Linked DNA regions of Oryzias latipes. The protein of the gene in region 1 purifies or fractionates together with the protein of each later gene. This does not show direct contact. Links are inferred from orthologs where the notes say so. Each region holds a gene or a part of one and is shown in the gene's direction. Other genes may lie near its edges.

What was found. Proteins that work in one complex are often made in the same cells at the same time.
Region 2: the proteins of ubiquitin carboxyl-terminal hydrolase 22 (region 1) and taf5l purify together in Homo sapiens (affinity purification with mass spectrometry; 3 studies listed by BioGRID and IntAct, with this or other methods). This does not show direct contact. The link is inferred for Oryzias latipes from reciprocal best matches to the Homo sapiens genes USP22 and TAF5L.

The regions. Positions count from the first base shown.
Region 1 is NC_019866.2:10,853,391-10,856,890, reverse strand, and holds part of ubiquitin carboxyl-terminal hydrolase 22, read left to right. Parts: intron 1-559; coding exon 560-731; intron 732-1,049; coding exon 1,050-1,152; intron 1,153-2,218; coding exon 2,219-2,377; intron 2,378-3,127; coding exon 3,128-3,254; intron 3,255-3,500. UniProt on the Homo sapiens protein: Deubiquitinase that plays a role in several cellular processes including transcriptional regulation, cell cycle progression or innate immunity.
Region 2 is NC_019859.2:2,094,608-2,098,853, forward strand, and holds the start of taf5l (TAF5-like RNA polymerase II p300/CBP-associated factor-associated factor 65 kDa subunit 5L), read left to right. Parts: upstream 1-1,446; 5' UTR 1,447-1,633; intron 1,634-1,987; 5' UTR 1,988-1,990; coding exon 1,991-2,129; intron 2,130-2,218; coding exon 2,219-2,326; intron 2,327-3,184; coding exon 3,185-3,945; intron 3,946-4,246. Other genes in the region: nuclear pore complex protein Nup133, read right to left, coding at 342-469. UniProt on the Homo sapiens protein: Functions as a component of the PCAF complex. The PCAF complex is capable of efficiently acetylating histones in a nucleosomal context. The PCAF complex could be considered as the human version of the yeast SAGA complex.

The DNA.
Region 1 (3,500 bases):
TATATATATATTTTTTACATTTTATAATCTTTTTTTTTATGGGTTTTCTGTCATTTTCATGTACAAAGGTCAGCCTACACTGCTAAAGGATGGGCATGCTTGTAATAGCTGTCAGTACATCTGCAATAGCTGTATACAATCAAACCAGATGGACACATCTAGGGTTTGAAAGACAGGAACCCAATCTTTAATCAGTAGTTCACGTAGACTTCTTCCCTGTACTGCAGCTCAGCTTTGCTAACGTTCCCGCCCACATCGTGTCACCCTGACATAAACTGTCACTTTCTTCGATTCTCATGGCAACCTTTTGCTGCAATTAGCAGATGGATTGCTTGCCTCAAGGCCTCCCCTATTCCATGTCTGTGTTGCATTAGCTCACTGTGGCATTATTGTCATTGCATCCAGTTCTGTTAACTGAAGAGCTGGATTTGATATCTTTCTGGCTCCCCCTTCTATTATTGGTGAACAAATAACTATAGGTCAAAGTAAGCTAGCAATGCTGATGTTATAACACAAAAATAATATTTAAAGTGATAACCGTCTGTTCATTCTTGTTCAGTTCTACTCGGGCCACCGTTCACCTCACATTCCCTTCCGGCTGCTGCATCTGGTGTGGACTCACGCACGCCACCTCGCAGGCTACGAGCAGCAAGATGCCCACGAGTTCCTCATCGCGGCATTAGACGTCCTACACAGACACTGCAAAGGAGACACCATCAGTAAGATCTCATGTACATCAAATCGCTTCTCATACCTTGCGCAACTTGAAGCGCTTTAACATTTAAAACAAAAACAACAAAACAGACAATCCTACCATAAAAACCAAACTCACTCTTCCCACTCCTCTGCGTTAACACTTACGTCACATGACCCACACACACATACTGAAATGTTTATGTTTGCTAAGGAACTAGCTAGCTCCTGACGGCGATCAGGCGTGTAAAAAGGAGTCATCTAGCACAAAATCCAAGACCGACATGGTCACACATCCGCAGACCTGAAGAGAGACTGATTTGTTTGTATCTTTTTTTTTTTTTCTTCCCCCCCAGATGACAATGGAAAAAAGGCCAACAATCCAAATCACTGTAACTGCATCATTGACCAAATCTTCACTGGGGGCCTGCAATCAGACGTCACTTGTCAAGTTTGCCAGTAAGTGTTGGGTTTGCGTGAGAAGAGCGCAACATCACATCCAATTTCTCCTCCCCATTCATCCTAAAGGAGCCTCACAAACGCCTTCTAGATTTTCTTACATTAATTATTCATCCATCCGCATGTGTCTGTTGTCCTCCTGCGCTTGCCTCGCACCAGCGAGGCTGATCAATGTGGATGCTGCCCATCCCTCCCTTTGCGTTGTGTGAATGGCTCGTGTCCTCTTCACTGCTCTTATTCAAAGGCCCGATCCCTGCAGAGCTGCTTTAATGGAGGTTGTCTAGACAGCAGCACGATTCAAGTGTTGTCTGTCTGCCCCCTAGAGCTGTCCTGTCGCATTAACACATTCACGCTGCACTGAACTGCAAAGTACCTCGCCCAGAGTAGCAGCCAAGCTGGGCCCGGCTTAGAGCAATCTTACCTGTACCGACAGTAGAAGGGTGTTACTGGTGTAGATTTATGCGGCAAATACAATCCTTTAATTTTCCTGAAAGGCCTTGTTGACTACAGATAAGTGGGTACCAACAGAAGCTATGAGGTTGTTGAACAGCGGAGCTCAATAGTCGCACACAGTGACTTCCACATCACCATAAATGCAGACCAGTTTGACTTGCTGGCCTCTGGGTTTTACAGAATCATGACTCATTCAATCGATAATGACAATGTGAAGCAGCTCCTCCTGGTGCAGAGAACATGATCGTTTGTTCTCTCTGCATTCTCCACCGAAAGCATCCCTTCTGTAATGTTGTCACTCATTGTCATCAAGCTGTAAGAATACATATTCATTTTTATAAAGCCAATTGTCCCTGATGTAATCCTTTATGGAATTGCACATTGGTATGCAAAAGTGCTCCAATTATGCACGTGCACACTTCCCACCGCTCAGCAAGCTGGAAGAAAAACACGATCAGAGTCTGTTGTGGCCGTTTGTGTTGCTGCAGATGTCATCAGCCTTTCATCATGACCTGTAATCAGTGATACACACAGCATTAATTAAACATAAACGACTAATCTCTCTCTTTGCCTCCCCTTTTCACTTTCCCCCCCCCCCTTTTCATTTCCTAAGTGGGGTTTCTACAACAATAGATCCATTTTGGGACATCAGTCTGGATTTGCCGGGATCATCAACACCTTTCTGGCCCCTTAGCCCTGGAGGGGACAGCGGCACGGTAAATGGGGAGGGCCACCTGTCAGGATCCACCACCCTCACAGACTGTCTGCGCAGGTACAGCGGATCTCTCTAATGTTTTCATCTGCTTTTTTATTTTATTTTGTTTTCAGCATTAAGCGCTAGACACCAGTGTTGTTTGCAGGGAGCCCGATCATATTCCATGATAAACCTTCGACTGTTCTTTCAAGCCATTTCAGTGAAAGGGAAACAAATTGAATTTGTGGGTTTGTTTGGTGTAATCTCACACACAACAAGCTGCTTCAACCTTATCTTCTCCGATAACCACGCTGACGGAGCAGGTGCGACCTCTCAAATCTCCTCCACTGCCTCCTCTTCTGCCATTTCTATTTCACTTCTCCTAATTTTATTTGATTCCCCCTCTCTCCACCTCATTCCAATTTTCCCTGTTCTCTCTGGCTCCACTTCTCACATTTGTCTTCCCCAATCTTTTTTTTATTTATTTATTTTTTTTTTACAACTGCAGCTCAACACACCCCACTTGCTGCAGCAAGTCTCTTAAAGGTACAGAGCAGGCTGCTGCTGTTGCCACGGTGATTAAGGCTACTGCGATAAAAGCCGGGATTTAGGATGCTAAGCTAAAATTGACTTAAAACCTGTAGGTTGTCTTTATTATACAAGTCCCCATATGTTTTCAGATTATCTTCACATGGGATTTAACATTGACATTTGGGATTACACAGGTGTTAAAAATGGCAGTGAACACCACTCATCCTCTGCTTTTTCCAGTTTGCTGCCATTCAGTTTCTAAACGCTTGTTTTCTATTTAACTCTCCTGCTTTCCAGATTCACAAGACCTGAGCATCTCGGAAGCAGTGCCAAAATCAAATGCGGTGGTTGCCATAGCTACCAGGAGTCTACCAAACAGTTAACGATGAAGAAGCTCCCCATCGTAGCATGTTTCCATCTTAAAGTGAGTCACTTGCCATCAATTAAGATTTTACTTTTCACTCTGTTTTAAAATAAACAGTCATGTGGCTCAAGATTTATCGACTTTTTAATGTTTTTTTTATTTATTTTTTTAGTTTTTATCCGTCATGCTTTAGCCGATGCTGCATCGACTTTGCTGTGAGCTACTCTGAATGTGCCAGGAGGCGTTATTGACTGGCTTTAGTTGTTGGATTGCGTTTGACTGTGATGTTTTTATGTACTGTCCCAG
Region 2 (4,246 bases), on another chromosome or scaffold:
AAACATTTGCTAAAAGTCTTGAATAATTCTGACATGTTTTCCATTCATTTAAAATCAGAAAAAACACACATTTCGGGGGTGACAAAAGAAAAAGAACAAGCATAAATCCTCTGATGGAATCTAAAGTTTTGATGCCCAGTGACTGAAATATCTGAAATAACGAACTTAATGAGTCAGAAATGTCAAATTGTGAATTTCCCCCCACCTGTGCGTCTCCTCTGTAGCAGTAAACTGTGTTTAAGTGTTTGAATCCGGGTCAATTGAACTAAATTACTATATGAAATGTAAAATCAAAAGCCGGGTTTCAAGCAGAATGCCGTTTCTTCGGACAGTCCACTCACCTCGCCGACAGAGGCGTCCTGCGCGGGGAGAACAGCAGGCTGTTGGCCGGCCCAGAGAGGCTCTTCCTCCCGGGGGTTCGGCCCTGCGGCCGGCGACCGGAACCTGGAACAGTTCTGGGGCTAAACATACTTTGTGCCCCCCTGACAGCCCAAAAGCTCCGAAACTGTATTACTAGTTTGTCTCCAAAGCTATTAACGCGATAAAAGAGCAAAAAACAGAAACTGAATCCCTCGAACCAAACACCGCGCGGTACAGTCGCGTGAATAATACGTCATTATAGTCCCGCCCACATATGTATTTTTTTTCAAACTTTATTGAATGTAAAAATTCAATACAAAACAATGTTAAACAGTGAACAACAACAACGAAGGAACAAGCCAGGGGGTTAATACATTTTATGCATATATATTGAAATTAACACACAGATCTAATGTTTTGATGGCGTTCTTATTATCAGAGTTTCTTATTGTCTTAATGTATTGTTTGAACTCATTGATAAAGATTGAGAAATGAGGGGTATGATTCGTAAATTTTGACTTATGAATGTGCCATTTGCATAAAAACAACAAAAGGTTAATGAAGTACAACTGTTCTTTTTTATGAGATGGACAGTGGGTGATGCCAAACATAACATTTTCTAAGTACAGGCGAAAGTCTGGGTCAATGTGGGCGGAAATGAAATGACAAACTTTAGACCAAGAAGTAGTGGAGAAGGGACATGACCAAAATAAATGTACAGCATCTTCAGGGTGTTCTTGACAAAAAGAGCAGGCAACATCAATATCTTCTTTGAACCTTTGCAGATATAGTTTGGTTGGATAGAATTTATGGATTAGTTTGAATGAGATTTCTTTCACTTTATTGGTTAAAAAGTATTTTGCCCACATATGTATATTCTGAAACCACAAAAAAAAAATATATATATATTTATATATATTTTAATTAAAGGTAGAGAACAAGATTGTTGCAAATCAGAGCCTGAAGTTAAAGGGAATCATATAATAGTAACCTTTGTAGAAGGTTGACTTTAAAAACAAGAATTTAGAAACAAGATCCATGTATCTTCGATTTATTAGTTTGTCACCGCCAGGCAGAAGCAATGGAGCGAAGATACATAGCGGCTAGCTAGTTTAGCATTTCGGATGCAAGAACGGGGAGAAGATAGGCGGGTATCCACGATGGGGCGCCACTGTAATTCAGCGGCGTAGTTTTGGCGGACCAACGGCAAACGGGAACACCGGACCATCGTTAAAGAATTATCTGCTCACGGAACGGGACAAAAAGATATGCAGTGAGTAGCATTTTTAGCTGTTAGTGACGAAAAAGCCCGTCACTATTAAGAGCCACCTACTGGCTAATGCTAAATTGACCGGCTAGCTCAGTTTTTTAGTGCAATCCTCCAGAGTAACCACCGGATTATTTAGTCTTTATGCTTCCGATTTTTTAAAACCAAGATCAGAATTTTCAGTCAGTTCTCACGAATTTAAATATTGATTTGGTAAATATTTAGCCACTGGAACTGTTGGGGGCTTTGCTGCTGTAAATAAACATCATCTTCCACAAAAACTGACTCTCAAGTCCCTCATCATTTTATAATTGACTGGATTAAAACAAATATCCCAAAAGTTGTTTGTGGACTTTTCAGGCCATGAAGAGGGTCCGGACTGAGCAGATCCAGTACGCTGTGACCCAGTACCTGAAGAGGCGGCAGTATGTGGACACCGACGGCTCTTTGAAAGGAGCCAAACTGTCTCAGTCTCCAGAGGAGATGGCTGCCAGCCTGACAGGTGAGCTTTCTGCCCTGGTGCAGCTGGAGTTGTGTGAAACATTGAAACGGATCCTTGACTGTCTTTCTGTTCTCTGTCTGATCTGTAAGCAGTGAAAACAGAGTCTGGCTGTGGGAACGTGGTCTCTGCAGCTCCCTGCCAGTCTGACCCACAGCAGTATGAGGCGCAGTTCTCTAGGCTGCACTCCTTTCTATCAGGTATGCATGTGTGGAGTTTTTCCACTGTCAGTCCAGAGATTTTCAGGATTCAAACATAATTAAAAAGTAATTTTCTGGTGTCTTAATGCCGGACGTCAAAAATAGTCCTGCTGCTTATACAGACAATAGGTTTATTTACAAGTTCAGAGCTTTATTTTTAAGGGTAATTTAGTCACAGATAAAATGTCTGGTTTACAAAATTAGGATATTGACGCCTAAAAATATAAAAATTTACGCTTTAAAAAAACTTTCCAAAGCTATTTGTTAGTGTGTGTTGTTGATGTCTGTGATGATTGGGTCTGATGTCTACCACCGTTGTGTTGATTGGTGGGTCTTCAGCTTCCACAGCAAAGCAGTTCTTGATAGAGTTCCATTACTAAGTTATTATTATTTCGCTGACGAGACTGTGTGAGAAAATTGACAGTTACAAACTGATAAGTTGAAGATGTGTGCGGTGCTGCAAATACTGACAAAAGCTGACATGAGGTCTCTAAAGTGTCTCGCTGGGTTACAATTTCTCACACGCGTGAGGTGAAGGTGCTTTTTCTAATAGGAAACATTTCTCACAGCCACTGAGACCCCTGTTTGTTTCATGAAAACATTGTTAAATTGTTTAAATATTTGCTTATTAAAACTTCAATTATCGAATTCAACAAAAAACACACAGGAGTTGATGACTAAAAAGGCCGTTTGGCATAAAATAGTTACGTTTTTCAAAGGGCATGATCCAAACAGCAGGCCTTGCCTCATAAATGTAGAACCACTGAAAAAGGAAAATAAACAGACACAAAAAAATCAGATCACAGAAAGTTTAGTTTTTGAAAAAAATGTCCTGACAAAGTTGTCTCCCTTCTACAGAAACAGAAATATCTTGGGCTCGGGAGGTGAGCGGCATCCTCTATCCGCTCTTTGTTTACCTCCACTTGGATATGGTGCGGTGTGGCCTGAAGGGGGCGGTAGACGGGTTTTACACTCGATTCCATGAAGCCTTTCTTCAGGACGGCGAGCAGCGCGCCGTCATCGAGCAGCTCCGCCATGTTCTCACTGCTCAGGACGTTGCAGCCAACCCCAAACTCCGAGCTTTCCTGGAGCACAAGTATACTGTTCACCTGACAGAGCCGGCCTACAACTACCTGCTGCGCTACCTGCAGAGCGAGGACAACAGCGCCCTCTGCAGGGTGTTTAGCACACACCTGCAGGTGGATGTGGCAGCATTGAGACGCACAGACTATCAGCTTTATGGAGCAGCTGGGGGCTCAGCTACGGCGCCAAACTCCACCACATCGTGGGCGGGGGTGGATGGAGGAGAGGCTGCAGACGGGGTGGAGGTCCCTGTGGGGATCCCACAGAGCGAAGCGGCCTTGGAGGCTCTGCAGGACTGCATCAAGAAAGTCCGCGAAGGCCCGCCCACTCTCACCACCATCTGTTTCTACGCCTTCCACCACACGGAGCAGATGCTGAACACAGCAGAGGTGTCGCCGGACAGCCGGCTGCTGTCCGCGGGCTTTGATCACTCCGCCGTCAAACTGTGGAGCCTCAGAGCGAGGAAGCTGAAGGCCACGCCGCATCAGGTGGACGTGTCGCGCATCCACCTGGCATGTGACGTGCTGGAGGAGGACGTGAGTTAAGCTTTCCTTGTTCTTTGTCATGTCGGATCATCCGTACATCAAGGAGAACTAAGAGCACAAAAATGTTTCTATTTAGTCCAATTCTTTCCTTTTTGCAGCCGTTTTATAGTCCTTAAGTCTAGATCCTAAATACTTCAAATGTAATTGCTGCTGCTAGAAGACATTAATTCTTATTTCAACCAGCTGGTGGTAAACAATGCTCAGTGCAGTCTTTCATGCAAAAGAGGGGAGGTCAGCTTTTATTTTGAAAGCGGAAAGAAAAACTCAATTTTTCTCAGCATTAGTTGAAGGA